Cricetulus griseus: one gene and its partners. The protein of the gene in region 2 interacts with the protein of the main gene of each other region in a biochemical or structural test. Links are inferred from orthologs where the notes say so. Each region holds a gene or a part of one and is shown on either strand. Other genes may lie near its edges. The genes, in order: Naa10, Hif1a and Usp20.

The links.
Region 1: the proteins of Hif1a (region 2) and Naa10 form a complex in vitro, tested with the Homo sapiens proteins (4 studies listed by BioGRID and IntAct, with this or other methods). The link is inferred for Cricetulus griseus from reciprocal best matches to the Homo sapiens genes HIF1A and NAA10.
Region 3: of the proteins of Hif1a (region 2) and Usp20, one has a biochemical effect on the other in vitro, tested with the Homo sapiens proteins (2 studies listed by BioGRID and IntAct, with this or other methods). The link is inferred for Cricetulus griseus from reciprocal best matches to the Homo sapiens genes HIF1A and USP20.

What each region holds. Positions count from the first base shown.
Region 1 is NC_048604.1:1,829,295-1,839,605, forward strand, and holds the end of Naa10 (N-alpha-acetyltransferase 10), read left to right. Parts: intron 1-397; coding exon 398-496; intron 497-883; coding exon 884-942; intron 943-1,820; coding exon 1,821-1,866; intron 1,867-1,947; coding exon 1,948-2,063; intron 2,064-2,276; coding exon 2,277-2,321; intron 2,322-4,246; coding exon 4,247-4,331; intron 4,332-4,915; coding exon of another isoform or gene 4,916-5,006; coding exon 5,007-5,240; 3' UTR 5,241-5,316; downstream 5,317-10,311. UniProt on the Homo sapiens protein: Catalytic subunit of N-terminal acetyltransferase complexes which display alpha (N-terminal) acetyltransferase activity. Acetylates amino termini that are devoid of initiator methionine.
Region 2 is NC_048598.1:129,458,544-129,469,503, reverse strand, and holds part of Hif1a (hypoxia-inducible factor 1-alpha), read left to right. Parts: intron 1-253; coding exon 254-456; intron 457-3,721; coding exon 3,722-3,828; intron 3,829-5,335; coding exon 5,336-5,483; intron 5,484-7,231; coding exon 7,232-7,452; intron 7,453-8,038; coding exon 8,039-8,325; intron 8,326-9,196; coding exon 9,197-9,319; intron 9,320-9,443; coding exon 9,444-9,889; intron 9,890-10,960.
Region 3 is NC_048599.1:142,693,398-142,704,457, reverse strand, and holds the start of Usp20 (ubiquitin carboxyl-terminal hydrolase 20), read right to left. Parts: upstream 6,229-11,060; 5' UTR 6,108-6,228; intron 5,804-6,107; exon of another isoform or gene 5,592-5,803; intron 1-5,591. Other genes in the region: CUNH9orf78 (telomere length and silencing protein 1 homolog), read left to right, coding at 6,615-6,697, 7,013-7,072, 8,605-8,656, 9,576-9,646.

The DNA of each region.
Region 1 (10,311 bases), on a different chromosome or scaffold from region 2:
AGCTAGCCTGTCCACAACCCATGGGCGCCTTGCCGGGTGACCGCGTGCACATGCTAACGAGGGACCTGGTGCTGTGGTCCTCCACGTCTGCGGCCGCTGGACCTTAAGGCTGTTGCAACCTGCCCTGGACATTTCGCGATTATACTATCCCGCGTTTGCCTAATGTCAGGGCTCCATCGAGTGGGCTCGCGACCTCCAGGCGGTACTGCTCGGTCCTTGAGTTGGCGCGTTTTGCATGGCTCATGGAAACCAGGCTTGTGCAAAGTCATATAGTCACAACCCTGACCTGCCCGGGGAAGGGGAGGCCCAGAGATTAACAGAGAACAGGGGCCCCGCATTCGTGAGGCCCTTCTTAGTCACTGCAGTCCTGGACTAACCGTGTCCCGCTGTCATGCAGCCCGAGGACCTGATGAACATGCAGCACTGCAACCTCCTCTGCCTGCCCGAGAACTACCAGATGAAGTACTATTTCTATCATGGCCTCTCTTGGCCCCAGGTGGGCAGGTTTTGCGTTTTGTAAGGGTGTAAGGGACAACAGAAGGGAATCATGGATCTGAGTGGGCCAAAAGCACTGGGCAGTGAGATATACAGTGCCTTGGTACAGCGAAGCCATGGCTGATGGGGAAGCCTGGCAAAGGAAACAGTGCAAGGGATTGTAAGCTAGACACAGGTGGGAAATGGGATTCCCACCTGTGTCTGTGCTTTTCCAAGAGAGGGCACAACTGTGGAGTAGGGAATCTGGGACCCTTGCATTCCAGGCCACCAGCTGTCACAACTGGACAATTTTTGCTGCTTCCCACTATCCTACACACAGCAGGAGGCTGGCAGTGAGCTCTAGCCTGTTGCCTGCTCTGCCTGACATCCTTTTCCTCTCTGTTACCAGCTCTCTTACATTGCTGAGGATGAGAATGGGAAGATTGTGGGGTACGTCTTGGCCAAAATGTGAGTCACCAAGGAGGAAGAAAAGAGCCTAATTCTAAGACTGGGGGTTGAGGAGCTGAGGGAAAAGCTTTGGACAAGGGAATGGGAAGCCAACACCATCCACATCTGGTGAACATGCTGTGGATTAGTTTTAGAGGGGTTCTCACTCTTTTGCCAGATTGGGCTCAAACTTGCATCAGTCTTCATGCTGAGCCTCCTGAATGCTGGGATTAACTATGCCCAGCTTGCTGTGAATTGTTTTTTAATTAACAGCTTGTTGGTAGGGTGTTTCTAAATTGACAGAAAGATTGAGCAGAAAGTACTGAGTATTTCCACACACCCCCTCCTCCACATTTGTTCTCTCACTACCATGTATGGTACACTTATTAGAAGTGAGAAACCAACACAGATTTTGTTTAGATTGATGTTTTCATTGTTGGGCTTCTGTGTGTCACACACCCTCTGAGTTGGGCAAATGAAGAGTGTCTATCCACCTTTAGAGTATTCCATCCTTCCCACAACCTCCAACAACAAGGTTGGTCACCTTTTAAGAAGGCTGCAGAGTTGAACTAGGAACTTATAGCTCTTTCAAGCTGCCTCCTTTCATTCAATGCTTTGCATTCAGCAATACACTGCTACACTTTTTGTGTCTTGGCAGCTGACTTTTGTTGTTGTCAATCACAGGCTAATATTCTGTTGACACTGCACATATCTACTGGGTGTAGCATGGGGGCTTTGAGGAGGGCATGATTGGTTATTCTGATTCAGAAGTTCCTAGTTCTCCTCTGCCTGGATCTGGGGTGCTGTAGGGTCCATCACGATGTCTGTGCACTTGATGTGTACAGGTGTCCGGTACATACTGGACCTGTACCAGGCTCCTTTCTAGCTTTCTCCTCTAGGGAAGAGGACCCAGATGACGTGCCCCATGGACATATCACCTCACTGGTGAGTAGAGCTACTGAGGGTTTGGCAGAGGTGGACTGGAGGTAGCCTCCAAGGTCCCACTAGTACCCATCCTTCTCTCAGGCTGTGAAGCGTTCCCACCGGCGCCTTGGGCTGGCTCAGAAGCTGATGGATCAGGCCTCTCGAGCCATGATAGAGAATTTCAATGCCAAATATGTCTCCCTACATGTCAGAAAGAGGTGAAAGACAAGCTTGGGGAAAGGACAATGCTGGGGAGTGGGGAGGAAGAGGTACCCCATTGATAGGGGTTCTGGGGTTTACTGCCTTCAGAAGAAGATGGTAAGTAGCATTAGTGGGAAAGGAAGACTGGGAAGAAAGGCAGGGCCTGGATATAGCCTGCCAACATGCCTGGTCAAGTTTCTGAAGCTCAGTAGTGCCTTATTCCCCTGCAGTAACCGGGCTGCCCTGCATCTCTATTCCAACACCCTCAACTTTCAGTAAGTAGATCAAGATTTTTTGTTGTTGTTGTTGTTTTGTTTTTAGAGACAGGGTTTCTTTGTGTAACTGTCCTGGCTATCCTGTAATTCACTCTGTAGACCTGGCTGGCCTTGAACTCACAAAGATCTGCCTACCTCCCAAGTGCTGGGATTAAAGGCATGTGCCACTACCTCCTGGCAGATCCAGATTTTTTAAGTGGCGTGATCCATCCTTTTAGCTAAGGTGAGCTAAGAAAGGGGTGGAGGAACTTCAGTCATTGCTAGGGGTCCTTCTGTATACTCAGTGGCTGTTCACTGACAAGCTAACATGGAGAAGGCACCTGGTTTCTGTGTGTGTGGTAGAGGAGGTGTCCTGCACATCTTGCTGGATAGAGGAAGTATGGTTTGTTACTAAGTGCTAGTGAGGCTGGTGAAAGGAATTATAGTAAAGAACACACAAGGCAGCTGGGCGTTGGTGGCGCACGCCTTTAATCCCAGCACTCGGGAGGCAGAGGCAGGAGGATCTCTGTGAGTTCAAAGCCAGCTTGGTCTACAGAGTGAGTGCCAGGACACGCTCCTAAACTACACAGAGAAACCCTGTCTCGAAAGAAAAAAAAAGAACATACAAAGCTTCTTAGTGCTGGTCTAAGAGTAAAGAGAGATGATTAGGGCATGAGCAAGGGTTGAGAAGTGACTGGCACCAGGAAGCATTGGGTGAGAGGAGATGAAAGGGGATGGCAGAGAAAAAGGGCCATGAACAAAAGTAATGAGGGACCTATAGCTCTGGATGTCCTGATAATTGATGGCAGGTCTACTCAGGACACAGGCATCTCCATGAGACTAGGATTGGAGAAAGGAACTGGCAGTGCCTACTGCCACTTGAAAGTGGGGCTGGAGTGAACTGATTGGAGGACCCATTGAGTCACACTAGGCTTTGATGGGGTAGAGTGAAGATGGGACTATTGGGACAGGACAGTGGCCTTCAGGCTTTTCTGAGTTCACTACCTAGATTCATGGAGATCTTTGACCTAGTTAAGTATGCCTTTGGTGGGGACTGCTTCACATGCAAAGTGAGCAATTCCCAGCTAGGTGTGGTAGTACATGCCTCTTAATCTCCGCATTCAGAAGGCACAGGACTGTGGGTTAAGGGCCTGGCATAGGGAGTTCCAAGTCAGTCTCAGCCACACAGCAGACCCTGTCTCAAAAGGGGGGTCCTAAGGAGATAGCTTAATTGTAAGAACCTGAGTTTGATTCCTGGCACACATGTATAAAAGCCACATACAGTGCCCTGTACCTATTATCTTAGTGCTGAGGAGGTTAAGACAAGAGAATCCCTGGGTACACTAACCAGTCAGCCTAATTGAATGTTCAAGGTCCAGATTCAGTGAGAGACCCTATTTTGAAAAACATAAAGTGGCCAGGCGTTGGTTCCGCACGCCTTTAATTCCAGCACTCAGGAGGCAGAGGCAGGAGGATGTCTGTGAATTTGAGACCAGCCTGGTCTCCAGAGCGAGTGCCAGGACAGCCAGGGCTACACAGAAAAACCCTGTCTCAAAAAAAAAAAGTGGGAAGCAATTGAAGAAGATACCCAACATATATCTCTGGCCTACACATGTACACATGAGGATGTGTATACACACAGCAGTTCTCTTGTCTTTAATGTCTTAAGAATTAAGGGCTTCACTCAAAAGACACAAGTCCTTGCTATTCAGGCTAGGGACAGAGAGCAGTGGCAAGTTTAGGGATGGGAAGTATCCTGGATGCTACATTGCTGCTTGGCTTTACTGAAGAGAACAGAGAAAGCCATCATGGCTGTTGGAAAAGAGTCCATTCAATGAAAAATTTAAAAAAATCAATTCAGGCTGGCTTTTGCCTCCCCTCTGCAGAGGGAGATGACAACCACCCTAGTAGCCTAAGAACCAGGTGTGTCTCCATCCTACCCCCAGGATCAGTGAAGTGGAGCCCAAATACTATGCAGATGGCGAAGATGCGTATGCCATGAAGAGGGACCTTACACAGATGGCTGATGAGGTAAGAGTTCAGCCAGGCCAGGGCAGCAATTCCAGCAGTAGAGGGGATTCCAAACTTGGGAAAGGGGGCTACTTAAGAGCTGTGACTCCAGGGGCAGTGGTGGCTGGAGGGAAGACTAAGGTTGATTGTCAGCACTTGTAGCTATAGTGGTAGGAGTCAGAGTCCCCCTTTCCCTCACTTCCTAAGCCTACAAGTAGGGGCATGGCCTTGGTTGATCATAGAGGAGGCCATGAGATGTTCTTGGGGGAAGAAGCCTGCAGGTGGAATAGGAGAGACAGTAGGAAGAGTTTTCTTTCTATCTCGGGACTGGGATTACTAGGGCCAGGGGCAGTCATGGCCAGCCTGTTCAGATCTAGGACCAATCTGGGCTGGGAAGAAAGGGTTCCTGACCAAGCCTCCTGGGGCTAGGGCAATTCATGCTGTGTCTTGGGAGCTCCCCAGAAGCCCACTTGAGGGCAGCAGGACCCTTGACATTTTACAGATGAGGAAACAGGCTTGGGGCAGAGCTACCATTGAACTGCATCTCTACCCAGTCCTATTTCCTGCCTTGGCCCTACTGCCTCTCATTGTATCCTTCCCCACAGCCAGCCCCAGGGTCTGGCTCCTCTTGTCTCCTGTCTGGAGACTTAGGCCCTATCTCTTTCAACCCGCTTCCCTCTGGGCTCCCGTCGGCAGCTGAGGCGGCACCTGGAGCTGAAAGAAAAGGGCAGACACATGGTGCTGGCAGCCACGGAGAACAAGGCGGAGGGCAAAGGCAACATGCTTCTGAGCTCGGGAGAGGCCTGTCGTGAGAAGAGTCTGGCTGCTGAGGACAGTGCTGGGGACAGCAAGGACCTCAGCGAGGTCAGCGAGACCACAGAGAGCACAGATGTCAAAGACAGCTCAGAGGCCTCTGACTCTGCCTCCTAGAGCCTGCCCCACCTGGTTCAAGCCTCCCCCCATGTGCTTTTACAATAAATGTGGTCCTGTGGCCTTGGGGAATTTGTGAATGTGCCAGCTCCTTCATGGTGGGGATATCATCTTCACAAACCAGAGCCCACTTAGCTCACAAATCATTTGGCGAATCTGGCTACCTTCAGCAACTGAGTAGGGTTCAGCTTAGGTGCCCTATTCTGTCACCTTCCTGGCCTGCAGGCCCCATTGACTTCCTTACTAATTTTCCAGGGCTGAACTAAATGATTCCTTGGGGCTTTCTAGTCAGCCTCGGGTTTCAGAGGCATCTTTCCCACCTTGATGCTCTTGGCTGTGCTGCTTCGACCTCTTAGGTCCCACTCTTAGCCCTTACTTTTAGAGAGGCTGTATCTCCTTGCCACTACACCCAGTTTATACAGTGCTTGAGATCTAACTCAGGGCCTCTTGCCCATTAGACAAGCACTCTAGGAACGGAACCACACTCCTAGCCTTAACTGTTGGCCTCAAAGTCCTGATCCTTTAAGGGGTTCTTCAAATTCTGCCCTTCACCATTACCAGGCTAATCTCTTTTGTTTACTCAACTTCTTGAGACAAATTGTCCTTAGCCCAAACTGGCCTGGAACTCATACCCCAGCTGGCCTCAAACTTGTGGTAATCCTCCTGCCTCAGGCTACAACGTGCTGGGATTACAAGTGCGAGCCATCCAGCCAGTTCCCCCATTAATATTTTGTATTTGTTGCTATGCTGAGACATTTCTGCACATTGTTAGCTAGTCTTTGGCTACCATTAGGATAGCCTCAATGTCTTCTAACATTTCTGTGACTTCTGGTAAGTGCATAAAGTCTAATACAGCAATTTATCTTTTTATGTTGAATATAAACCCTCAGCCCCCCCCCCCATTTGGTTTTTTGAGACAGGGTTTCTCTGTGTAACAGACCTGACTCTCCTGGGACTCACTCTGTAGGCCAGGCTGTCCTCGAACTCACAGAGATCTGCTTGCCTCTGCCTCCTGAGTGCTGGAATTAAAGGCTGTGTGCCCTCACCACTTGGCTTTTCCCCTCTTTTCTTTCACAAGGTCTCAAGTATTTCAGGGTGGCCACGAACGAATTTGCTATGTAGCTAAATCTGGCCTTTAATCCCAGTCCTCGGGAGGCTGAGGCAGGCGGATTTCTGAGTTCCATGACAGGTTCCAAAGCTACAGAGAAACCCTGTCTCGAAAAAACAAAACAACAACAAAAAAAACCCAAAACGTAAGTCTCTTGTTTTAGTCTTCCAAGTACTGGGGTTTCAGGTGTGAGCCACCACTCCAGGCTTTTTTTTTTCTCCCTGTCTCCCTCCCTCCCTCCCTCTCTCTCCCTCCGCCGTCCCCCTTCCCTATTTCCCTCCCCTCCCTCCTCCTCCTCCCCCTCCCTCCCTTCCTCCCTCCCTTCCTCCCTCAAGCTAAAAAGGCAAAGAGTCCACGTCTCAAACGCTTTGTCACAGTGTCACCCTTGCTTTAACACTCTCCTAAACGTGTTTTCTGGATTCTAGACCATCACTGATGACTGCTAGGTCCTAGGTGTGCTCTTCTTGGGCCGCTCACCTAACTGACAACTGAGCTGTCACTATACTAACAATTTCCCTTCTCAAGCCGCCCATCGCTAGGTTGGATAGTTTGTCTTGGAGCTTAGTTCTTTATTTGGTTGTAGAAGTGATCCATTAAAACCGAGAAAGCGGATAGAGAGCAGAACCTGAGAAGAAACTTGCGCCTGCATATGGCTGTTCCTCTACCCCCCCCCCCCTTGTGTAGTTCAAGCGAAACTGAGTTCTGATTGGCTACAGTCACGTACTTCCTTTTGTACGAATCAAGTCAGCGTTTCCTCTCGCCTACCGTGTTGACTTCACTCTGGGTTCACAAACAAGGTGACGTTCTTAGTTCCCAGGCTCTGATTGGTTCTATAGCACCAGAATAAACGCCTCGCAACAGAAAGGGCAGACATGCGCACCGGCTTGGTTGCGCCCCCAGAGTTGGTGGGCGGGAGCACGAGAATGTTCCTAAGGCACTTACGGAAGCCCACCCCTCTGCCTTGGTTGCTTGGGTGTGATTGGCGGCCAGTTGAAGCTGTGCTGTCTGCTCCGCCCCTAGTTGGCTAGGTTTCCTGGACGGACGTGGGAGCTGTGGAGGGGGAAACCGCAGGCCCACACTAGGGCCTAGCACTTCCCCTGCTTCAGCGCTGCCTTACGTGCCTTGTGAGCTGAGGCTGGAAGGCATAGGATAAGGTGGCTGGGCTTGACTCCAGGGACTCTTCTTCAGGATGTACCCTCACTGCCTAATGATTTTTTCTCTCAGGAGCCCTACGTCTCTCATCTCCCTCTGTCCAGAGTAGCCAATTAGTCTGATCACATCAGCCTTGTGGTCATTCTCCAGGACCAAGTGCACATTCTTCCACGTATTTAAAAAGGTCTTGAGGAGCTGGAGAGATGGCTCGTCAGTTAAGAGCACTGACTATTCTTCCAGAGGTCCTGAGTTCAATTCCCAGCAACCACATGGCTGCCCACAACTGTAACTCCTGTTCCAGGGGATTCGACACCTTAACTTACACAGAGAAAACATCAATACACTTAAGATAAAACTTTAAAAAAATTTCTTTTATCACCCCGGACACAGACACAGTCAGCTTGGAGTGTTTTTGTTTGTTTGTTTGTTGTTGGGTTTCTTTGTATTTTTTTTAAGACAGGGTTTCTCTGTGTAGCCTTGGGGGCTGTCCTGGAACTTGCTCTTGTAGACCAGGCTGGCCTCGAACTCACAAGAGATCTGCCTGCCTCTGCCTCCTGAATGCAGTGATTTAATGTGTGTGACAACACTGGCAGCTCTGAGTGTTTTAACTTTTCTATAGCTTCTGGTAAGTGCAAAAAGTCAAATATATTGACCATTATGGTTTCATGTTCAGTATAAACACCTGGATGCCAGACTGGCCTGCACAGTGAGACACTGTCACAAATAAATAATCCTGTAGATCTACCCCTTTAAAACTCTATCACTCTTTGTAAATATTTATTTTTATTTTTGTATCTCTCTGTCTCTCCTCTCTCTCTCTCTCTCTCTCTCTCTCTCTCTCTCTCTCTCTCTCTCTCTCTCCCTGTGTTTGTGTGTGTGTGTGGGGGGGGGGTCCCTCGGAGTACAGAAGTGGGTGTTAGATACCCTAGAAGTGAAATTATATAGTTGTCAGCTGCCTTTGGATTCTAAGAATTCTGTCTTCTGGAAGAGCTCTTAACCACTATGGAACCATCTCCATTGCCTGTCTTGTTGGGTTTTGTTTCTGCTTGTTTTCACAGTCTCCATATTAGTCCCGATCTCTGTCTCAGGATGAGCATCACCTCACCTAGGTTATCTGATTTGAGACAGGGTCTCCCTCTGTAGCTTAGGCTGGCCTGGACGTCACCCTGCAACCCTAGATTGCCTCTGAGCCACTACTCACCCACTCTCACCCTGTCCTACAGGCTTTTGTATTCTTAAAACAGGAGCTAGCCTGGTGAGGTGATGATGCACGCCTTCAGTCTCAGCAGGAGACTGGAGCAAGGGAGGCAGGAGCAAGGAGATCTCTATGAATTCAAGGCCAGCCTGGTCTACATAGGAAGTTCCAGTCTTTCCAGAGCTACTGAATGAACCCTGTCTCAAAAAACAAAAACAAAAAGAAGGGGGCTAAGGAGAAGGTTCAGTGGTTAAGAGCACTTGTTTCTTTTGCAGAAGATCTGAGTTCAATTCCCAGCACCCACATGGAGGTTCATACTCATCTGTAATTCTAGTATCTAGGATCTGAGACTTTCTTCTGTTCTCCATGGGTATCAAGCACACACACACACACACACACACACACACACACACACACACACACACACACACACACAATTTGAACATGCATGCACATATAGAAGCAGAACACATAAAATTAAATGAATATAAATCTAATAAGATTTTTTAAAGCCAAAAAGGAACATGCCTGCATTCAGGAGGCAGAAGCAGGGTAATTCCTGAGTTCAAGGCCAGCCTGGTCTATATAGACCCTGTCTCAACAACAAAAAACAAAACAAACAAAAACAGGAACAGGAGCTGAAGATACAGAAAGCAGTTTCACTCATGGCTTAGATGCCAAACAAGTATCCTAAGAGCAAGAACAAACACTCAAGTCTTCTGTTTGCTTTTCACTCCATTTCATGCCAAGAGACTGAATGTGGTAGCATTCAGATTCCTGGATTCAGGACTGAGAACATTTGAAGGCCAGTTCAACAGCCATTTCTTGTTGCCTGACTCCTGAATCATGCCCTGGCCTAGCTCTGCTGGGTGGATGACAGACTCCTGCAGATTGGTCAAGGCTCAGATAGAATGGAAGGCAGGCAGGGTGGGTTGCTTTAACTAATAAGAGCATGGGTGTCTGGTTCCTCTTAGTATGAGGCACTGTTGGAATAAGTGTCTGCTGATAAAGCAAATTCACAAGGATCGATGCCCATTCATGTGCTGTGAGAAGAGATACAGGCTTGCTTGATTTGATGGAGGATTCCAACATTGCTACTGGAATGCTTCTGGAAGTCCAGGACCTGGGCCTGTGAACATCAAGCTAGCTTCCAGACCTTTTCTTCAAGATTCTGCGAGAATCTGGCAGCATCTTAGAGAAGGGCTTTGGTACTGGGAGCAAGTACAGACCAACAACTAAGAGACTAAGTATTTTTTTTCTGGCCAAGAGAATCAATTGCACACAATTGAAGGGCCAGAATAGTCTCCCTCTCCTGCCAAATCTCCAGGCCAGTGTCACATGTGCTCACATGCACTTTGGCATCCATGCATGCACATACAGATCTAGACTCCTTTTGTATTTTACTACCTTTTAGCATGTCTCCTAAGCTCCTTGTCTGTCTCTCACAATCTGTATACCCCCAGGGCTTTCTCTTCATAGAACTGTAGATAGGTGGTTTATCACCTGCCTCCTGCCTTGCCAATTTAGTAGAGAAGCTTGGTGTGATTGTGCACACCTGTAACCCTGCATTTGGGACAGAAGCAGAAAGATTGCCTCAAGTTTGAGGCCAGCCTGGA
Region 2 (10,960 bases):
ACCTAAATATCTTACATCTTAACTGCCAAGCCAGCTCTCCAGCTCTTCCCCTACCCCTACTTACTTTAAAATAACTGTAATACATAGATTAGATTGTAGATGGTGTCATGGGAAAAACTTTTTTTTTTTTTATTTTCAAAGATACACATCTATCAAAGTTTGTCAGGTCAAACTCAATTACTGACCTATATTTCTTTTTGCCCCTTTAAAAAAAAAAAAAAAGATAACTGCTTGTTTTCTTGCTCATGCACAGGTGCTTCACTGCACAGGCCATATTCATGTATATGATACCAACAGTAACCAACCTCAGTGTGGGTACAAGAAACCGCCCATGACATGCTTGGTGCTGATTTGTGAACCCATTCCTCATCCATCAAATATTGAAATTCCTTTAGATAGCAAGACTTTTCTCAGTCGACACAGCCTGGATATGAAATTTTCTTACTGTGATGAAAGGTAAATTAATTCTATTTTATACTTTTAAATTTTAAATTTCTCTGTAGCCTTTTTACACTCACTGTAGTAAAAACTTAATGGTACACTGCATGTGTTCATGAAATTAAATATAAAGATGCATCCTGGAACACAAAAAAAACATAAGATTAGCTTTGTAAATTCATGCATCTATTAAACATTGACTGTGTACTATAAATATTCTGCCAGGTGTTCTGCAAATCTATTAAGATGAGATTCTCAGATGGATCTGGTGGCACACTCCTGTAATCTCAGCAACTGGGAGATGGGCAGGAGGAAAGGGAGTTGAAAGTAAGCTGTCTCACAAAAATATGTTTCAGGATAGGGATGTAGGTCAGATGGATCACTTGTCCAAGCATTCAAAAGGTATTGAAACAACCACAAAAATCATGACGTTCTTTTGCTTTAGGGAATCTTGAGAATGTAAATTTCAAAGACCTAAAGCTTATATAGAGTAGGCAACAAAATTTTGGTCTTTAACCTATATGTTCTCCTTGAGCACCTTCAACTCCACCCACAGTTCCTGTCCCCATTTCCCAAATCTGTTACTACTTGTGTGTAACTGCCAACTTGATATTCCTGTCTAGATCGTTTTCTGTATAATGAAGTAAATACTTGTGTTCCTGAACTGAACCACTGCTGTTCCCAAACAGCAGCATGACAGATTGCTACTCCTCTTGTGATGCCTAGTGTTGTTGACATAGCACTGTTGACTCTAACTTTTACCACACATTACACTTAGTTGGTCTCTAAGTATTGTAAATGCATTGTTCATTCAACTGTCTCTCCTCATTGTTCTATCTACCTTTGTGCTCCTGTCATGAATTCTTTACTTCATTACCTTTGGCCTGAGTTGTTCCCACAAACTTGTGAGCTTCATTTCTACCAACAGATCTGTGCCCTTTTACTCTTACACCCATTGTGCCCAAAGAGGGCTTCCCAAGGTAATGATCAGATTATGCCAATTTCTTATTAGAAATGCATCAGTTGTTTCTTGTAGGATTGTAGATGGGAAGATTTTTATTTATCAAAAGATGCTGTACATTCTGGATGTGGTGGTTTATGTCTGTGATCTCAAAACACTTGGGAGGCTGAGACAGGGAAGTCACCAAAAGTTCAAAGCCAGCCTGGACTACATACGGACTCCAGTCTAGTCAGGACTTTGTAGTCTGTCTGTGTCTCAAAAAAAAGAAAGAAAGAAAAAGTGTGCAATTAAATCTAAATATAATAAAATGACAAGCAAGTTATTTACCAGAAGATTGCCCACAGGTTAGGTTTTCTCATTGTGTTTTCATGTCTAGAATTACACCAGAAACATGAATGTTTAATTAAAAAGTATTTCATTATGTTGGAATTTTATTTACGTGTGTAAAACTATGTAAGAGCAATTCAAATAATTTTTAGGGCTAGATGCACCTCCACACTCAGCGGTAGCATGTGTGAGTGCATGTATGTGGGTTCATGTGGGTCACAGCACAAAGGTAGAGGACAGAGGACAGTTTGTGGGAGTTCATTCTCACCTTCCACCACGTGGGTTCCAGAAACTGAATTCACGCTGCCAAGTTTGGTAGCAGGTGCCTTACCTGATGGCCCATTTTAATGGTCCTGGATGCTAGAAATGTGATGTAAAGGTTTTCTTAAAATTGGGCAAATTTTTTTCTGTGTCTTGATTCTGAGGTGGTATAGAGCAAGAAATTCTTAGCAAACATTTAAAACTGAAAACTAGTACAAATCACCAGCTCCAAATCACCAGCACCAAGATGGGGTAGGGAGGACCTTTGTCTAGCATTGTGAGCCCCCATATCAGGGTTCTCAACCAGTGAGTCATGTCCCTTTTGACAGTTGACAGGCCCTTTCACAGGGGGCCCAAGACCATTGGAAAACACAGATGTTTACATTATGATTCAGAACAGTAGCAAAATTAGTTATAAAGTAACAATGAAAATAATTTTATGATTGGGGGTCACCACAACATGAGGGATTGTGTTAGAGAGTCTCAGCAGTAGGAAGGTTGAGAATCACTGCTCTAGATTTAATCCCTACTACCATTCTGGGATGAAGGAGAAAACACATATTTTTAAAGTATATTTTATTTATCTTTGTAATGCTGCCATCTAGTGTTGGTGTATTTTGGTTATCCCTTTTTGAAGAGTCAAAGTTTGATTTATGCTTCAATAAATCTGCTTTGTTGGTTTTAGAGTAAATGGCAGATCTTAAACTGTAACAGCTAAGCTATATTATTTAACATACTGTTATGAACAAAGATACCTTCCTTATGCCCATTCTGTAATTAGGTGTTTGCTTTTTAGACATATGAGTATCTTTTACCTGCACCTTGGTTTTTTTGTTTGTTGGCTTTTTTTAAGTCCTCTGGAATCTAAACTGAGAAGTGTCAACACTTGGTTCATGTTTGTTCCCAGAAAGACTTCAGTGAAAAATGTTTGTAATTGGTTTAATGTGACGAGGACAGACTTGTCTTTCTCATAAAATGGGTCCTCATGGTTTCCAGGCTGATACCCAGGGACCAGGAGGCTCCCTGAATCCGTTTTCAGCCCTTTTTCTTTTAGATGCCGTTCTTTCATGTGAAATCCTCTTAATTTTAGAAAATTAATATTTACTTTCCATTTAGTATGGATGTCCTTGGCTTAATAGTGAAATTTTATAGTTGATATTAAAGTGAGGCCTTGCCACAGGCCTAAAAATAGGGTAAAGATTTTCACTGAATGAAAAATAAACTGCTATAGATTTATACTGTATTTTAAGATAATTGTGACTGTCTTTGGAACTTTTGTCATTTCATTTAGCATCATTAAGATTTACTAATATACCCTGCTTTGATACCAACAGTGTGTATAATGAAATGTGTTTTAAAAAATAGGTCATGAGTTTGGGTAAAAGGGATAAGTCAGATATCAGGGACTGATCTAAGTGACTTTATACTAAGTACAGAATTTGGGGTTTTTTTGTTTGGTTTGTTTTGCCGGGGGGGGGGGGGGGGGATGGGGTGTTTTTTGGTTTTGTTGTTTGGTTTTTTGTTTGTTTTCTGAGACAGGGTATCTCTGTATAGCCCTGATGTCCAGGAACTCTGTCAGTAAACCAGGCTGGCCTCAAGTTCACAGAGATCCACCTGTTTCTGCTTCCAGAGTGCTGGGATTAAAGGAATCCACTGCCCAGCCAAAGTATAGAATAGTTAAGTGTGAGTTCTAAACTTATTAAGCAAAAGATAATCTTTTTTTTTTTTAAACAGAATTACTGAGTTGATGGGTTATGAGCCAGAAGAACTTTTGGGACGCTCAATTTATGAATATTATCATGCTTTGGACTCTGATCATCTGACCAAAACTCATCATGACAGTAAGTACAGTAGAGGAACTCAAGGAAATAGTGTCATTGCTTAAGTCCTGCAGTCTGTACTGTACCTCTACTTTCTAGTTAAAATTACCACCCAGTCTCCTTAGACAAGCATCCTACAGCCCCTTCATAAGATGTCTTGATAATGAAATTATTGTTTTGTTACAAATATTAGCAAAAAGTAAAGTCATTTAATAATAAATACATAAAGTATCCCATAAAAGTCAAATATTATAGATTATCTAGCCTACGTACATATGTACTGAAATCAGTGGTTGGTCAATAGGAGGTAGTCACAAAGCATTTGTTCATGAACTAGTGAGTAGGATTAGTATACACATGTGATAACTGACACCCTTGACATATAGGAGGTTTCTGAATTTTACTCAAATAAATCTATGATACCAAACTAAGTTAAACTTCATAATTCCTCACTTGCCTATTTAATCTGGACCTAAACATGACTTCCCAATATGATTGAGGGTACTGAGTTGAGTATCATTGAATTAGTGTAATTTGCCTTGAACTACAGAGTATGCCTAAGTTGTAGTCAGAGCATGGATACTCACAACGGCATCATCATGATTGATTTACTACATTCTCTTAAGTCAGTAATTAATTTAGACTGCATGAATTGACAGAAGGCTATAGTATGACATGAACTTATATATTCAAATGTTCTGAGTATAATTTTTTACAGTGATTGGTTCTCTGGTGCTTAAAAAAACTGGTACCATTTTCTTTCTTTTTTTTTTTCTTAAAAAGAATTTATTTAACTATTTTATGTGCATTGATGTGAGATCTCCTGGAACTGGAGTTATAGACAGTTGTAAACTGCCATGTAGGTGCTGGGAATTGAACTCAGGACTTCTGGAAGAACAGCCAGTGCTTTTAACCACAGAGCCACCTGGCCAGCCCCTTTTTTTATTTTTGAGACAGGGTTTCTATGTAGCTTTGTAGACCAGGCTGGCCTCGAACTCACAGAGATCTGCTTGCCTCTGCCTCCTGAGTGCTGAGACTAAAGAGGTGCACCACCACTACCCAGCTCCATTTTCTTAAATGTACCCTGTGATCAGTCTCTAGTCTGACACTTTCACCATAAGTCATTAAAGAAACTGCAGACACCTTGTCCTTCACTCCTGGCTTAAGATAGGAAATTTCTTTGGGGTTTGTTTTTAGGTATGTTTGGCCTTTCTCATTTTAAACAGTCACAACTATTTATTTAAGTATATCTCCCTTGAAACAAACAAACAAACCAACAGCAATGGTTCAGTCAAGCACAGCAGCACCAGCCTTTACCCCCAGCACTGGGGAGGCAGAGGCAGGCAGATCTCTGGGTGTGAGGCCAACCTGGTCTACATAAGGAGTTTCAGGACAGCCAAGGCTACATAGAGAGACCCTGGCCTGGAAAAAAAAAAAGCAAAAAACAAAACCCAACAGTCTACATTCATCACTTTTTTTTTTTATTGAAAATTGAGTTGTTTTCTTTGCAATCCTTTATTATCCCTAGTGTTTACTAAAGGACAAGTCACCACAGGACAGTACAGGATGCTTGCCAAAAGAGGTGGATATGTCTGGGTTGAAACTCAAGCAACTGTCATATATAATACAAAGAACTCTCAGCCACAGTGCATTGTGTGTGTGAACTACGTTGTGAGGTAAGATTGTGAAGAGACACTTTCTACATTTATGTGCCTTTATTAAGAAGATATAAAATGATAAAAACTGAGTTTTATTTTTACTTCTTCTACTGGATTATGATTTATACTCTGGCCCAACTTTCCAAACCAGCTATTCCAGTGATCCACAAAAGAGTATCATTTTTTTTTTTTAATCAGTCTGTGGATCTGTTTTCCTGGTAGTTGTGTTTTAAGCAGCTGCTATCCTGGGGCCAAAAGATTCTGTGAAAGTTAAATGGCTGTCTTGTAGGAGGGCACTGTGACAGGCTGTGTGTTGTGACACAGGGCTTTTGTTACAGTCATGAATGCTATAAGTTATTTCAGCAAGCTGTGCCCCATTTAGTCACTCTTCACATGACCAAAACATTCTAATTTAATTGCCAGGCAGAGTTCTCTAATGTGGATAGCTCATTTTCCTATGTTCCATACCCTTCCCCTTCTTTTTTCCTGTCTCACTGTGAGTAGGCTTGGCTGGCCTAGAACTCACTGTAGACCAGACCAGCCTTGAATTTTCAGCTGCCCTATGTAGGTTTGCAGGGCTGTGCCAGCATTCTCCAGCATAACTTTCACGGATGCTACCAAAATCCAGGTCACCTGTCTTGTGAAGACTTTGGGCCATTGTTTTTGTTCTTACAACTTCTAGTTTCTATTGTTTCTTTGGGGGGATATTTTTGATGCTAGGATCAAACTCCATGCCTTACCACTTCTAAGCCCAAAGAATCATCTTAGTTTAAAGAGTTCTTTTGTGGTTTTTTTGCCTTTATATAAAACTATTCTTCCTCTCCCAGTCTGCCTCATGATTGTTACTTGAGCCCAAATTCCAGCTTGTTCACCTTTCTATGAAACATCCTTTCCCCATCTTAGGAGTGATCACAGTGTATTGTGATCTTATCCATTTCACATTGGATATAAACTACTTGAAGGCAAGGGTTGTATACATCAGTCTTTGTATTCTTAGTTGGTTTCATAAATTGAACATGTAATGGGTTAGCTAAAAGTACGCTGATGCCAGACATGAAGCTGGGTGGTTGTTCATCATCCCTTTCCCTCTTCTTTCCTATCTTATGAATGACATCACTATATTATTTCCACCAAGAAAGTATGGCGCCTCTCATAAAGACTATGGTCATTAGCATTATATTGTAAGATCATCTGTAGATGATGTCTCATGTGTTAATGCTGACGAGTAATTTTGTGGCCTTTTTATTGTGTGCATTGCACAAATGCCTTACTCTGCTTGTGTTTCGAGTGTTCTTGTCACCACCCCTATTCTCAAAGAATGTTTCAATTCAAATAAGTTGAATATTTTAATTAGTGAATTTTATTTAAATTTTTATTTTCATATTGGTGATGTTTTTATTGTTTTTGGGGGGTGGGGGTAGTTCAAGACATCGAACTCACAGAGATCCACCTGCCTCTGCTTTCTGAGTGCTGGGACTAAAGGCATGTGCCACCACCGCCCGGCTTCATATTGGTGTTCTAAAATAATACACATTTCTCAATAGTAGAACGCTTTCCTAGTGTGCAAAGGTCTTGGGCTCAATCATCAGCACTGGGAGGGAAAAGAAATGTGGCAAATATGCATGAGAGATTATTCATCTCAAGGAATGTTGAGATGCTTTTTTTATATAAAGCATAATTGAAGAGACAAGGTTGTTTCACAGTCCCCCTTATTATCATCATGTCAAGTGCTAATTTACAAATACTAATCTCTCCTTTTTTGACAGTGGTATTATTCAGCACGACTTGATTTTCTCCCTTCAACAAACAGAATGTGTCCTCAAACCAGTTGAATCTTCAGATATGAAAATGACTCAGCTGTTCACCAAAGTTGAATCAGACGATACAAGCTGTCTCTTTGATAAGCTTAAGAAAGAACCTGATGCTCTAACCCTGCTGGCCCCAGCTGCTGGGGACACAATCATATCTCTGGATTTTGGCAGCGATGGTGGGTGCTTAATTAGTCTGTCCACTTCTTCAGCTGTGTCTGCTGCTTCCTGTCCCAATTCAGCTGCACTTTCTTGGCTTACGTATTTGCATGATGCTTACACTTTTTTTTAATAGTATTTCAAAGGTATTGTTTAATGTATTTGTTTCTGAAATTTCATAGCCTTCCTACTTTTATTTTTGTGTTCTGTTGGGAATTGCAGTTCAGAGTATCCTGAAGGTACCCTCTAATACCCTCCCTGCCACCCAGCTGCACCATTCAGTAGAGTTAAAATGCAATAGGTGTAATTAGGTAAATGCTAAACGATTAACAAAGCAATCATGCCATAAAGCAAAGATGAAAATGAAAAATGTTACTTCAAATTAGGCTAAGTTTTAGTTTATAACGAGATTGGAGATACACAACCTAGGAGTTGTCAGTGGTGGACAAAAAAGATAACTCAGACTTAATGATCATGCTGTTATGTCCATAAACTTTCCAGTTAAAGAGAACTGAGTGAATCACAAATCTTTTATAAAAGGTAAAAAATATCTATGACTGTTAAAATCCTGATGTTCTTTAGACTGAAGAAATGTTTCCTCTACAGACACGGAAACTGAAGACCAACAACTCGAAGATGTTCCACTATATAATGATGTAATGTTCCCCTCATCTAATGAAAAAATCACAAATATAAATCTGGCAATGTCTCCGTTACCTGCCCCTGAAACTCCAAAGCCACTTCGAAGTAGTGCTGATCCTGCACTGAATCAAGAAGTTGCATTAAAATTAGAGCCAAGTCCAGAGTCACTGGAACTTTCTTTTACCATGCCCCAAATTCAAGATCAGCCAGCAAGTCCTTCTGATGGAAGCACTAGACAAAGTTCACCTGAGGTGAGTACCATGATGAAAGAAAAGATAAAGGATAAATATGCCTGATATTGATAGTTCTCAAAACCCAACAGAAGTGGTTTTTTAATATCTAGGTTGGACCAGGGTTGAAAGTGTCACAAACAACTGTTTCCAAATCCAGAACAATTCTGTTTCAGAGCTCTCTGCTATTAACACTGTGCTTGGGAGCAGGAGAGCTTAGATTTGAACTTTGCAACTGGGTTAGTGAAGCACAAATAAATCTGGATTCTATATTAAACTGTTAGGAATTAAAGTTGGCAGGTGTAAGTTAAGCAATATGGTATCTCAAACCCTTTTGGAGAATATACTCTTTGCTTTGATTTGCCCAGCATGTAAGTATTTGATTCATTTTGTCATTGATCTAATGAAAAATTAGGAAAAGCAAACTGTTATACCAAGCTACAGTATTTTTTATTAAAATTCTTACCTTTAACTCCTAACATGATGAATATAAGATTCCAGTGAAAATATCTCGTTAACTGGATAATTAGGTGCCATTGTAGAACTTAAATTGTTTGGTGAATTTTATTCTTTAGAATAAACAAATTTTGGGGAGATGTTGGTTGGTTGGTTTTGTTTTGCTTTTTTTGAGACAGGGTCTTACTATGTAACCCTTTTTGGCTTGGAGCTCACTTTGTAGACCATGATGGCCTTGAATTTACAGATTCTTCTGCCTTTGCCTCCCCTTGTGCTGGGATTAGAGGTGTGCTCCACCACAGCCTACTAAACAAATCTTTCAATCATAGTTTTTAGTTAGATAAAGCTTTATAATATCTATGTGCTTGAAACTTATTAACAAGAAAACCTAAGGACTTCTTCAGGAAAAAGTAAATACTCCTAACTCCTTTCACAGCCTAACAGTCCCAGTGAATATTGTTTTGATGTGGATAGCGATATGGTCAATGTATTCAAGTTGGAACTGGTCGAAAAGCTGTTTGCTGAAGACACAGAAGCAAAGAATCCATTTTCAACTCAGGTGTGTTGACTCACTTATTTTGTATTTTATTAATTTTTAGCCCATAGTGACTGGGTTTAACTTGTTTTTCTTTTACAAGATGTGGTCATTATAAAAACTCTTCTATTTATTTATTGTTTGAAAGGATACTGACTTAGATTTGGAGATGCTGGCCCCCTATATCCCGATGGATGATGATTTCCAGTTGCGCTCCTTTGATCAGTTGTCACCATTAGAGAGCAGTTCCTCAAGCCCTCCAAGTGTGAGCACAGTGACAGTGTTCCAGCAGACCCAGCTACAGAAACCTACCATTACTGCCGCTGCTGCCAAGACTGCCACCACCACAACCACCACCGCCACTGATGAATTAAAAACAGTGACGAAGGACAATATAGAAGACATTAAAATACTGATTGCATCTCCATCTTCTACCCATGTACCTCAAGAAACGACAGCTGCTACAGCATCAACATACAGTGCTCCTCCTCACAGTCGGACAGCCTCACCAGACAGAGCAGGAAAGAGAGTCAGAGATCAGACAGAGAAAGCCCATCCAAGGAGCCCTAATGTATCTGTCACTTTGAGTCAAAGGTATTTGGAACATATTTGTTCTGTCATGTTCTAGTACATAGGTGACGTTAAATGACTTCTAAATATATAGCCATCTTTCTGACATGTGCTCTAAGGAACATCATAAAGTTACCTTATAACTTCTCCCACACAATCCTATCAGTTGTCCAAGTATAGAAGGTCAGAAGGATGTCTTCCAACACCTCTAAAACTAAGTCCGGCCGGTAAGCAAAAAAATGTCAGGTGTTTATACCTGAAGAAAAGCCCTTCAGCTAAATGGTTCTTTCCCATCCCAGACTGAAAACTGGTGGTGTTTAGTCCTCACTTGTAAATATGGATATTTGCAGGCCTTCTTTTTAAAATCTTGCATATAATTTCTAGCCTTAAACTTACTGTTATTCTTCATTGCATATTTTTGTGTTATCATTATTATTATAAAGAAAATAAGCTTTGTTTAGATCTACCAAAAGTTCTAGAATGACTTACAATATTGTTTCTATGGGATGAAACAATGGTTGAGCAAATATTTAGAATTTCTGTATATAATATGTAATGGTATTTGATGTGTTTTAAATTTGAAGCTGTACCTACAGGGAAGTAATTTTCACTAATTAGTGAGTGAAAGAAAAATGATTCCTTCTATTCTGTGCCTAGACAGAGCAAGCTGCCTCTGATAGCAGGCGAAAGGACGCTGCTGTAACTGGGTGGATCTTTGTTCCCCCTTCGTCTGAAGTGCTAGGACAGGCTGCCATTTTCTTAAGCTAGGAAAAATGCTTGGGGCTTTAGATGAATTCAGTATTTTCATTTGGGTATAGTAATATATGCCTTTAGTCCAGGCTCTCAGGCACCTGAGTCAGGAGAATTACAAGCTTAAAACCAAAGATGAGTGGTGGTATACACACACACCACATAAGTAGATAAACAGTACAACCAGAGATGATATTTATATGATAGACTGAATTATATTTCATGAACATAACATACATAAAAATTTTAAACCAGCTTGCTTATATACTACATGGTTTATAAATATTTTAAAATTAAAAACCTACATTTATAAAATCATTAGTCATATATGACTTAGCCATTTGG
Region 3 (11,060 bases), on a different chromosome or scaffold from region 2:
TAGGGAGCATGGGCATGCCACCCAGAGTTGTACACAAGGCAGTTTAAATAAGAGAGTAACCCCACCTGTGATGGTACATACCCTATCACCTGAACACTCAGGCTGCTGAGGCAGGAGGATTTTGAGTTCCAGATTTGCCCAGGCTACAGAGAAGGGCCTTTTCTAAAAAAATAAAATAAAACAAAAAACTGGAACCAAGAGGGCTGAGGATATGGCTCAGCTGGCTCAGTGCTTGCCTGGCATGTATGAAGCTCTGGGTTTGAGTCCCAGCACTGTGTAAACTAGGCATAGTGGTACATCCCCAGAACTTGGGAGGCAGAGGCAGGTGGATCTCTTCAAGTTCAAGGCCAGACTGGTCTACACAGCAAGTTCCAGGCCAGCCAAAGACACACAGTGAGACCCTGCTTCAAAAATTAATTAAAACTCAAGAAAAAGAGGGAAAGGAGCTGGAGATATGACTCAGCCATTAAGAACACTTACTGCTTTTTCAGAGGGCCTGAGTTCAGTTTCTACCCCCAAAATCCCTGCATCCAACACTCATAATGTGGGCTCACAGCCACCTATCACTCCAGCTCCAGGGGAACACCACACCTACTTCTCCAAAAGTGTCAACTCCAGACAGATGCAAACATGCATATGTACATGCACCCACAGAAATGAATAAATAAATAATATAAATAAGGCAGGTATTGTGGCATATGCCTTTAATCCCTCAGGGCTTGGGGGAGGGCAAAGGCAGGTGAAACCTCTGATCATGAGGCCAGTTTGGTCTACAGAAATGAATTCTAGCCAGTCAGGATACATAGTGAGAACCTGTCTCCAAACAACCAAACAACTAATAAAAATAAACCTTTTAAAAACACATTAATCGCCAGGTGTTGATGGTGTACACCTTTAATCCCAGCACTCGGGAGGCAGAGGCAGGTGGATCTCTATGAGTTCGAGGCCAGCCTGGTCTACAGAACAAGTTCCAGGACAGCCTCCAAAACAATCCAGAGAAACCCTGTCTCAGAAAAAAAAACAAAACAAAAAACCACACAACACATTAATCCCCAACTCAGGGGGGCAGAGGCAGGTGACTCTATGTTGACTTTGGGCCAGCCTGGTCTACAGAGTAAGTTCCACGACAGCCAGGGCTACCTACACAAACAAACAAACAAAACAAACAAGCCTTAGAGAAAGGAGAAGAGAAACTGAGGAAGGGAAAGAAAGAGTGGTACTCTTCTCTTTAAATTAAGGGGGAATCACTGAACAATTAGCAAGCTAGCACATGACCTTAGATAATAGTAATTTTTAAGAATTTACCTGGGAGTGGGGGTGAGGGTGCACATATCTACTTGTGTGTGTGTGTGGAAGCCGGAGGCCAACCTTGGGTGTCACTTCTCTCACAGAACCTGAAGCTCACTGATTAAGCTAGACTGACTGGCCAGTGACCCCCAGAGTTCTGCCGATCTTTACCCTCCAGTGCAGGGATTACAGACACACACCACATACCCATGAACCCTGATGACTGAATTCAGTTCTACATGCTTGCTAAGCAAGCATGACAGTGACTAAGGACCTCCCACCACTGATATCATGGTAACAACTGTCCCACCCTACCCCCAAAATCCCTGCATTCACCTCCTAAGCACCATCACCCTAGTATATATGGGTATTTGGAAGTAAGGACTTTGGATAAATAATTAAGTAAAAATCAGGTCTCTGTGGTGGCCCAGGTGGGACTTATGCTTCTGAGACTCAAACACAAGCAATGGAGGCTGTCACACAGCAAGGCCACATGAGTACAATGAGAAGGTGCTGTCTGAAGCCTAAAACCAGAACTCCAGACTCCAGAACTTGAGACCATTTTTGTTGCTTAAGCATCCCTGCCTGTTGCCTGTTGTCAGAGCAGCCTTGGAGACTGGTTATTGTAAAGGTTTTGCAAGAGAAAATCATTCTCTGGCTGTGCACGATGGCACCCTTCCTTACTCCCTGATGGCTGCTTGACCCGTCTGCTTACTTTCCCATGAATCAGCAACAGTGACATTAGGAAATGCAGATATGGAAAATAAAGTGGAAAAACGCCAATAATCGGTGAAGGGAGGAGAATGAGGGCTCATCGTATTACTCAAGCAACCCTCTCTGGTTGCTTCGTTTCTGACAGAAGAGCAAAGCCACCTGCCTGAGGTCACACAGTGAGGAAGGGACACAGCTGAAAGGGAGCAGGTCAGGTGTGCCAGCAGGCCTCTCATAAAGGCTGAAAGGGAAAGGGAAGATCCATTAAAGTACAGGATGCTGGCTGGGTACAGGCCCCCTGAAGAGCAGCTGGTCCTAGCAATCGCCTTCAGGGACCCACTAGCCCACGCCCCCATGTCTTGGAGCTGGAGAGTATGGAGGAGGGCAAAGAACCCACCTCTCCTGCCCTGTGAGACCTGAGACTTTAAGGGGCAGAACCTACAGGGACAGGCTCTTGCACCTTCCCAGGGAGCTAGCAATGGGAGAAGCCCCACCCTCAGGGGCCGGATGGGGGCGGGGTCTAGGAGATGCAGCGCGGCTGCGCACTCACTCCAAAGGCCTGGCAGCTTCAGGTGCCCGTTACTCATCACTTTCCCCAGAGTTTCTGGTAATATTCTTCCGACTCCCAGGGAGTCGCTGGTCCTTTGGGATCCGAAGGGGGCACTGCCGAGCTTCCGCCCACACAGGTTCCCACAACCACCACTAGCTAGCCTCTCACTAGTCAACCAGAGACCCTTCCCTGCACGTCACACCCCTTGCTGACACCTGCACCTTCCTTTTCTCACTCCCCCAATTCCAGACACTGCCCACCTCTCTATCCCAGTCTTACTTCCCTAAGTCCCCCATCCCTTTGGTTCTTCACATAGAGGCCTGTGGCATCCATCCCCACCCCCTGCCTGGACTAGCCCAACTTCCCACACCTCCAGGTCTCCCGGCTCATCACTGACCCTCCTTAGGAGCTCTGCTAACAGCTCCACACCTTCAACTATCCCAAGGTTAGGTACCCTCACAGGACCCTCACAACTGCTCAGGGAGGCCAGGATGCAACCCATCCATCACCAGAGGTGGGGAAAGTGAGCCTTGAGCACAGGGGTAACTGGCTGAGTCACAAAGCTCTGGAGCCCCAAAGCCAGGACCCAAACTCAGGGGACCTGCCCTGCAGCCTATGATCTAAATGAACTGTGGCTTCCAACAATCCCAAATGTGCCAGCCAGCAGCACACAGGGACAATTTTCACCTCAAAGCACTAGACACGGCTACACAGCAAGGCAAGGCTGTTCTGTTTTTCTAAAAAAAAAAAAGAAAAAATCGTGCCAGCCTAGGAGAGCCCCAAACCTACGCCCTTTCCTTTTCATTGACCCCTAAAAGCAGCGTGCAGAGGTGGCTCAGGCCCTGTTCTGCACTCCTTGAAGCTGTGTGGAGCAGTGAATTGCTCTCTGGAGGACGGCTCAGGAGCGGCTTGGAAGGAAGGAGCAAGGAGGTAGCCTGGCTAGCCTAGAACTCACTCAGTGGACCAAGCTGGCCTCAAACTCAGAAATCCATCTGCCTCTGCCTCCCAAGTGGTGGGATTAAAGGAGTGTGTCACTACACCTCACTTTTTTTTTCCAAGATGACTTCTTTTTTTTTTTTTTTTTTTTTTTTTTTTTTTTTTTTTTTTGGTTTTTCGAGACAGGGTTTCTCTGTGGCTTTGGTTGGAGGCTGTCCTGGAACTAGCTCTTGTAGACCAGGCTGGTCTCGAACTCACAGAGATCCGCCTGCCTCTGCCTCCCGAGTGCTGGGATTAAAGGCGTGCACCACCAACGCCCGGCTCCAAGATGACTTCTTAACGTTGAGATAGTCAAATGTGGGCCAGACTTAAGTCAGCTAGCCTCAACTCTCTATGTAGCTGAGTATGACCCTGAACTTCTGACCCAACCAAGGGTTGGGACTACAGGCATGAAACAGTTTGCCAGGTTTATATGCTGGAGGTTGGACCCAGGGTGCATCATATGCACATTAGGCAAGAATTCTACCAACTGAGCCGCATCCCCAGTCCCCTTCAAACAAGTTTTTTTTCTTTCTCTTTTCTTTCCTTTTCTTCATCTTTTGGTTTTTTTGAGACAGGGTTTCTCTGTGTAGTCCTGGCTGTCCAGGAAATTTCTCTGTAGACCAGGTTGCCTGCCTCTGCCCTGAGTACTGGGATCAAAGGTGTCCACCTCCACCACCTGGCTCAAACAAGCATTTCTTGAATGCTTACTATGGCAGGGACCATCGAGATATGACTGCTCCTTGGGCATCCATGTAGCTCCACAGAGAAATCCACACCATTCCCAACGTCCAAGCCAAACTAAAACTGGAGACTCATCTTTGAACTAGAAGAGGAAAACCCCTCACTTTCCTGAAGGTTCCCTCTCAGAAGCAGTCTCACTTTTAAGAACATGACTCACAGGAGCTGAAGTCTCTCCACCCAGGCACCTAGGTCAATTTCTGGCTGCCACACTCTAATCAGCACTTGAATTAAACAAGAATCAACTCCATCTGCCACAGCCCAGGAATTGGATGTCACCTGGCACTCCGGCTTCAAGGACGAGGGTGGCTTTGTATCAGATGTCCCTCTCTGTCTTCAAATAAGGACTGTATGAAAATGCTCCCGACCATCTGACTCTTTCCTTGCCAGTACCAGCATGGCCCAGTACCCTAGGGGATACGGGGCAGGGCATGGCCAGGCAGGGAAATTAAGAACTACCTCTGGAGCTGGAGAGATGGCTCTGTGATTAAGAACACTAGCTGGTCTTCCAGAGGTCCTGGGTTCAATTCCCAGCAACCACATGATGGCTCACAACTATCTGTAATGAAATCTGGTGCCCTCTTCTGACCTGCAGGAATACATGTAGGCAGAACACATCTAAAAAACAAAAACACCCCTGAGCCTGTGAGAGTTGTAATCCAATTCCCTGGGTTTGTGCAGCAGTTCCCACGGAATCTCTTTTTCAGCCAACAGAGACATGGCGTCCAGTGAGTGCCATACACATTTAACAATGGCTGAAACAGCCTTGCTGGGAGGTCAAGACTTCGATACTTAATGTATTTTTCATTAATGCAAAAAAGCTGTTTCAAGACATCCCAGTCTTCTTTGTCCTAGTTTAAGAGGAACGACAACCTCAGAGAAAATTGTTCTGGAGAAAAGCCAAAGCATGGCAGACATGCCTCCCTGCTTTAGAATAGTTTTCCAGAAAAAAGTCTCCATCAGTCTCCCGCCCCCCCCCCCCGCCCCAGCCCATGAACTGGAATGCCATAGAGGCCCGCTGTCCCTGATGCAAATCCCACAGCTGGGAAAACTATGCCCCCACCTGAGCTCCCCTTCCCAGCTGTGTAACTTGAAGCACAGGTTACTTCTCTAAGCCTCAGCCTTCTCTAACTTCCTCAGTTGGAAGACAGACCCAACTGCATCTACTTCGTGAGATTAGACCGGAGACTTTTAGGAGAGAATGCTTAGCCCTGCCACAGTTAAGAAGTGCTTTGCTCCAGAGGAAACTAGTAATTAAGGAGTCCCTATAAGTCCCATGTGAGCCATTACGCATGCACTTATCCATCTCCTAAGTGTTTATGGATACCTTTGAAAGCTAACTACTCTCGCAACATCTTGGCGGTGGAAGGTGTGTAGGACAGAGCGAGTCCTCCAGGCCAAAGGAGACACCCCGAGCTCTCGAAGGGCAGTCCCCGGCTTCACACCCTTGGAGAGGCCTCTGAACGTCAGTGGCATCCCTCCTAGGGACCAGTAGCAGCAGACCACCCTGGTACGGGGGAGTTGGTATCGGGACTGATATTCACCCCCGCCAAGGCGCTCAGCTTTTGTCCGTGAGAAATAAATTTGCACATCTGAGGCCCAGAGCCCGAGTGGCCTCGCGCTGGCCTTCCGAGCGACGTGCGGCCTGCTCAGGAGAAGCCAGGGCCGTGGGGACTTGGGGCGGACACAGGAGCCGGTCGATGGGAGGGTGGGCGGCGGGGACCTCTCCCCAGATCGCGGCTGCCCCGCAAAGCCAGGCCTCCCCAGTTCGCAGCGGCGGCGCGATCGTCCCTGCTCTAGCGGCCCAGCCCACCGCACCAGGCATCAGCCGTCCGGAACTCACCTGCCGTCGCAACCGCGCCGCCTGTCAGTCAAGCGCGCCCACCGCGACGCCGCGCAGAGTCTTGTGGCTCTGCCTGTCGTGCCCCGCCTCCCTACCGTCAGCTGTCCAATCGAGAGAGCCTATGCCAAGGACGGGGCGGGGTCACATGGCGCTGCCTACTAGGGGGCGGGACCGTGCGTGCTGGGGGCGTGGCCGTGCGAGTACTGAGTGCCCATGCATGCTGGGAGTAGGGGGAGTGGCCGTGCTGCTGGGGCGTGGCCACGTGGTTCGAAGACTGTCTTGCTGGTGGAGGGCACAGTCTCGGCGCTGGGGCGTGGCCACGCGGCTGTACCTGCCCTTGCTTTTTGGAGTTGGGAGCTGGTGGCTATGCTGCTGGGGCGCGGCCTGGACACCCGGAGGCGGGTCTGCATGCAGCCGGCCCTCTGACGACACTTCTGCGCGCCGGAAGAGAAAGAGGTTCCCGGCACTACGCGGCAGGTAACGCCGCTCCTAAGATCTGGTGCCGCTATGCGGATCACTGGGAAGACTTTCCGCCGGCGGCGGGCTGACTCGGAGTCGGAGGAAGATGAGCAGGAATCAGAGGAGGTTCGGTACGTGTTTGGCATGACCTCCACGGCCCAGGAAGAGGGAAACAGCCTTGGGACTGGCTACCGGCCGGCACTGCGCTGACACCACTGACCGGGAGCCAGGGTTGTTGTCTTTCAGAGGCTCCTGCTGATAAGGCCACATTTCCCCGGTCCCGAAGCTCGGAAAGGTGCTCCGGGGTCGCATGGGTCTGACTGCCGGTGATCCACAGTGCCAGGGACTCGGCCGAGAGACACGGATGTCCCCGGAACTGAGTTAAGCTTTGAGTTCCGCAGAGGATCTCTCAGCCTGTGCATTGCTTTTTATTCATTTCCCCCCAGGTTAAAACTTGAAGAAACCCGAGAGGTGCAGAACTTAAGGAAGAGGCCAAACGGGGTGAGGTGGGTACCATGGGGGTGGGGGTGGCGTCATTTATTGATGACACAGATACTTCCAGCTAGGGTCTCAGTTACAAATATCTCCTTCGACATAGTTCTTTCTCTAGACATACACCTTGCACTGGTCGAAGAGGGGACCAGTTTTTTTTCAAATGTGTAACTGCCACATGCCCTGAGCCTGGTGGTATCAGAGTCTACTCCAGGTCACTAATTGCTTTTTGGTTTTTCCAGACAGGGTTTCTCTGTATTGCTTTGGAGCCTGTCCTGGAACTTGCTCTGTAGACTAGGCTGGCCTCGAGCTCACAGAGATCCGCCTGCCTCTGCCTCCTGAGTGCTGGGATTAAAGGCATGAGCCATCACCACCACCCTGTTGCTAATTGGAGTTGTTTTTTTTGTTTTGCTTTGTTTTTCAAGATTTTATTTATTACTTATACAGTGTTCTGCCTGCATGTATACTTGCACACCATTGCAGATGGTTATGAGCCACCATGTGGTTGCTGGGAATTGAACTCAGGACCTGTGGAAGAGCAGCCAGTACTTTTAATCTCTGAGCCATCTCTCCAGCCCTAATTGGAGTTTTTAATTGCACGGATGAATTGTGAATGACAACGTGTTGACAGATAAGAGTTTAGAAAAATTAGAGAAGTATAATTAAGAAATAAATGATTTCTGTGGTGGTTGTTGGTGCATGCCTCTAATCCTAACCTGGGAGTTTGAGGGCAACCTGGGTTATATAGACCCTATATTTAATTAAATATAGACCCTATATTTAAGAACTTTGTGGGAGCCGGGCAGTGGTGATGTGCACCTTTAATCCCAGTGCTCTGGGAGGCAGAGGCAGTCAGATCTCTGTGAGTTTGAGGACTGCCTGGTCTACAAAGCCAGTCCCAGGATGGGCTCCAAAGCCACACAGAGAAACCCTGTCTGGAAAACCCAAATTATACTGTGATTTCCAGGCTAAAATGAAATCAAATGGCTATGCAGGAACATGCACAGCTGCTTCCTTTGCCTTTCACCCTCCCACTCAGTGTGCTGAGCACTGTGTTCTTTCCTACCTACTCTTGGGCATGCCCTTCCATCAGTGCTCTAGCCTGCAAACCTGATTGTCCCAGATTGCTTCCTATGCTGTGACCATGACACAAAACCACTTGCAGAGGAAAGGTTCTGATTACATTCAGTTATTGGGGGAAGACAAGGCAGGAACCCAGAGGCAGGAACTGTAGCAGAGAGCATGGAGGAGCACTGCTTACTGGCTTGCTTCCCAGGTTTACATTCAGCTGTCTTATACAACACAAGACCACATACCCAGGGGGAAGGGAGCCCTGCACACAATGGCCCTCCCACACCAATCACAAGTAAGAAAATACTCCTCAGGCTTGCCTACAGGCCAACATGATAGAGGCATTTTCTCAATTGAAGTTTCCTCTTCCCAGGTGACTCTGGCTTGTTTCAGTTGACAAAACAAACTAGCCAGCATATTGATTGATTTCCTTCTTGTCTCTGTGTCATTTCTTTGTCTGTTTTCTTTTGCTCAGTGCTGCTGCCCTGCTGGTGGGAGAGAAGGTTCAAGAGGAGACTACTCTGGTGGTGAGTGTTGTCTCCTCTCTGGGGCTGTTCTTCTGTGAGTGTGTCTCTAATGTATAACCATGCTGCCAGGGAGATGGCTAGTCAGAGTGCTTCCTGTGCAAGCACAAGGGTCCAAGTTTGGATTCCTGGCACCCACATGAAAAACTGAGAATGGTGACACATCCCTATAATCTGAGCACTGGGGAGGCAGATTAGGACGATGTGCTGAATAAGAAAGCTAAGATACCCTCTCTCAAAGTATAAGTTGGGGGAATGGCTTTGTGGGTAAAGTGCTGAAGTTCTTGCTGCACAAGTTTGGGGACCTGAGTCAGGCCCCTAGTACCCAGCACAAAAGCTATACATGATGGCATCCATCTGTAACCCTAGCAAGGTTTGGAGTAGAGACAGTTGGAGCCCTGGAGCTGACTGGCCAGTGAGTCTACCCAAATCAGTAAGTTCTCTGTCTGAGATATTTAAGGTGGAAAGTGATTGAGGCAGATGCCTGACTTTGGGCTCTTGCCTCCACAACCACACATGCATACACACAAACATGTATATACACTGTCCACACACAAAACTAACAAACATGGTCACATACAAAGTAAGAAAAGCTGGGTGGTGATGGCATATGCCTTTAATCTCAGCACTTGGGAGTCAGAGTGAGAGACCAGCCTGGTCTACAAGACCTAGTTCCAGGACAGCCTCCAAAGCCACAGAGAAACCCTGTCTAACAAAAAACAAAACAAAACAAAACCCCCCAAAAAACAACAACAACAAAAAATAAGGTGGAGAATGATTGAGGACACACCTACAACGTTGACCTCTGACCTTCACGGGTATGCATACATATGTGTACGTGCACCTGTACACTCACAGATGATCACAATAACTCTGATGCTACTATTCTAGATGCTTCCTCTAAGCAGTGTGCTTTCCGCAGGATGACCCTTTCCAAATGACGACAGGTGGCATGGTGGACATGAAGAAGCTGAAGGAGAGGGGCAAAGATAAGTAAGTGGAGGGTACTGGGCACAAACACACTGTTGCTGGGCCTTAGCTGGCAGGAAGAGCCGGGGATGAAGCTGCCTGGACACCCTGTAGAGCTTGCAAGTTCCATGCTGTGCCAGGGGTTATGCTAATTAGAAACCCCAGTGGGGGGCTCGGAGCCAAGAGAGAAGGATCCATTTGTAAAGGACCTTGTTCATTATTTCAAACATGGGGAAGCTTTGTATGAAAACCTAGTTACAAAAATTATACCAGAGTCCAGCTCCAGCAGGGTTCTAAGCCACAGGACAGAGGTGTAAAGTTGGCCAAAAATAAGAGTATGACCACCAGTTGTCTTTCAATAGACGGCCCTGAATAGTTCAAGCCGTTTTTATTTATACAAGTTCTAATGCATTCAAGCATGAGCAATATCAATACATTTCTCTTTAATCTTTTCCCAGAATCATAAACATTTACCCATTTTAGTTTCTTTTCCTCTTCCCCACTCCCTTGATGTCCTTGACCTTTACCTCCTATCATTAATTTTTATATTGCAAGCCAAATGATTCTATCTAGCCAGGCACATCTTATTCATACTGCGCCCTAACCAGCAGCAAACATGCAGTTATAAAAAAGGAAATTTCAGGTGGATTAATCCCAGCACTCGGGAGGCAGAGGCAAGTGGAGCTTTATGAGTTCCAGGACAGGCTCCAAAGCTACAGAAAAACCCTGTCTTGAAAAACAAACAAACAAAAAACAAAAAAGGAGATTTAAGCCCTATGATCAGCCCTTAGCAATGTGATACTTTTATATTTTTGTAATCAGCTGAGTATATGATGCCATACCTAGGATATTGTTTTCAAGTGTATGTCAATTCCTAGATAATATGTATATCACTTTTATGTGGACAACAGTTGTAATCCTGTTCTTTACAAATTCTCAAAATGATAATGACTACCTAATTCTTTAACTGTTGGGACCAAGTTTATATTCTTCCTTGCAGTTTCTACGTGTACTTTCACAGGAAACTGGGAGTTTTAACTGAAAAAATATCTAACCATTCATGTCCTGGCAACAGAGTGGTGTCTGACCTTTCATGTCCTTTATCTTTTGCTTATTTATTCCTATAAGTTTTAATGTCATCTTAAATTCTTTGGAATATAGTTCTCTTTTGTAGGATAGTTATGTAACCAAGAATCATTAACCTTAATGAGTTCCTCCTACTTAGAATGACTGCAAAAGCAGCCAGGGGCAACAGGAGGAACTGGTTTCTGTGAATGGCTGCGGAGAGACTTAATTTTTAATTTCCTTGTGGAGACTTAGAAAAATTATCAGCTTTTGTTCCTAGTAAACTCAGCAACAATCACAACTGACAAAGCAAAACTTAAGAATTACCATGGCAAAAGTTAGAGAGGCCTGAAGCCCATGAGTTCTCTAGGAT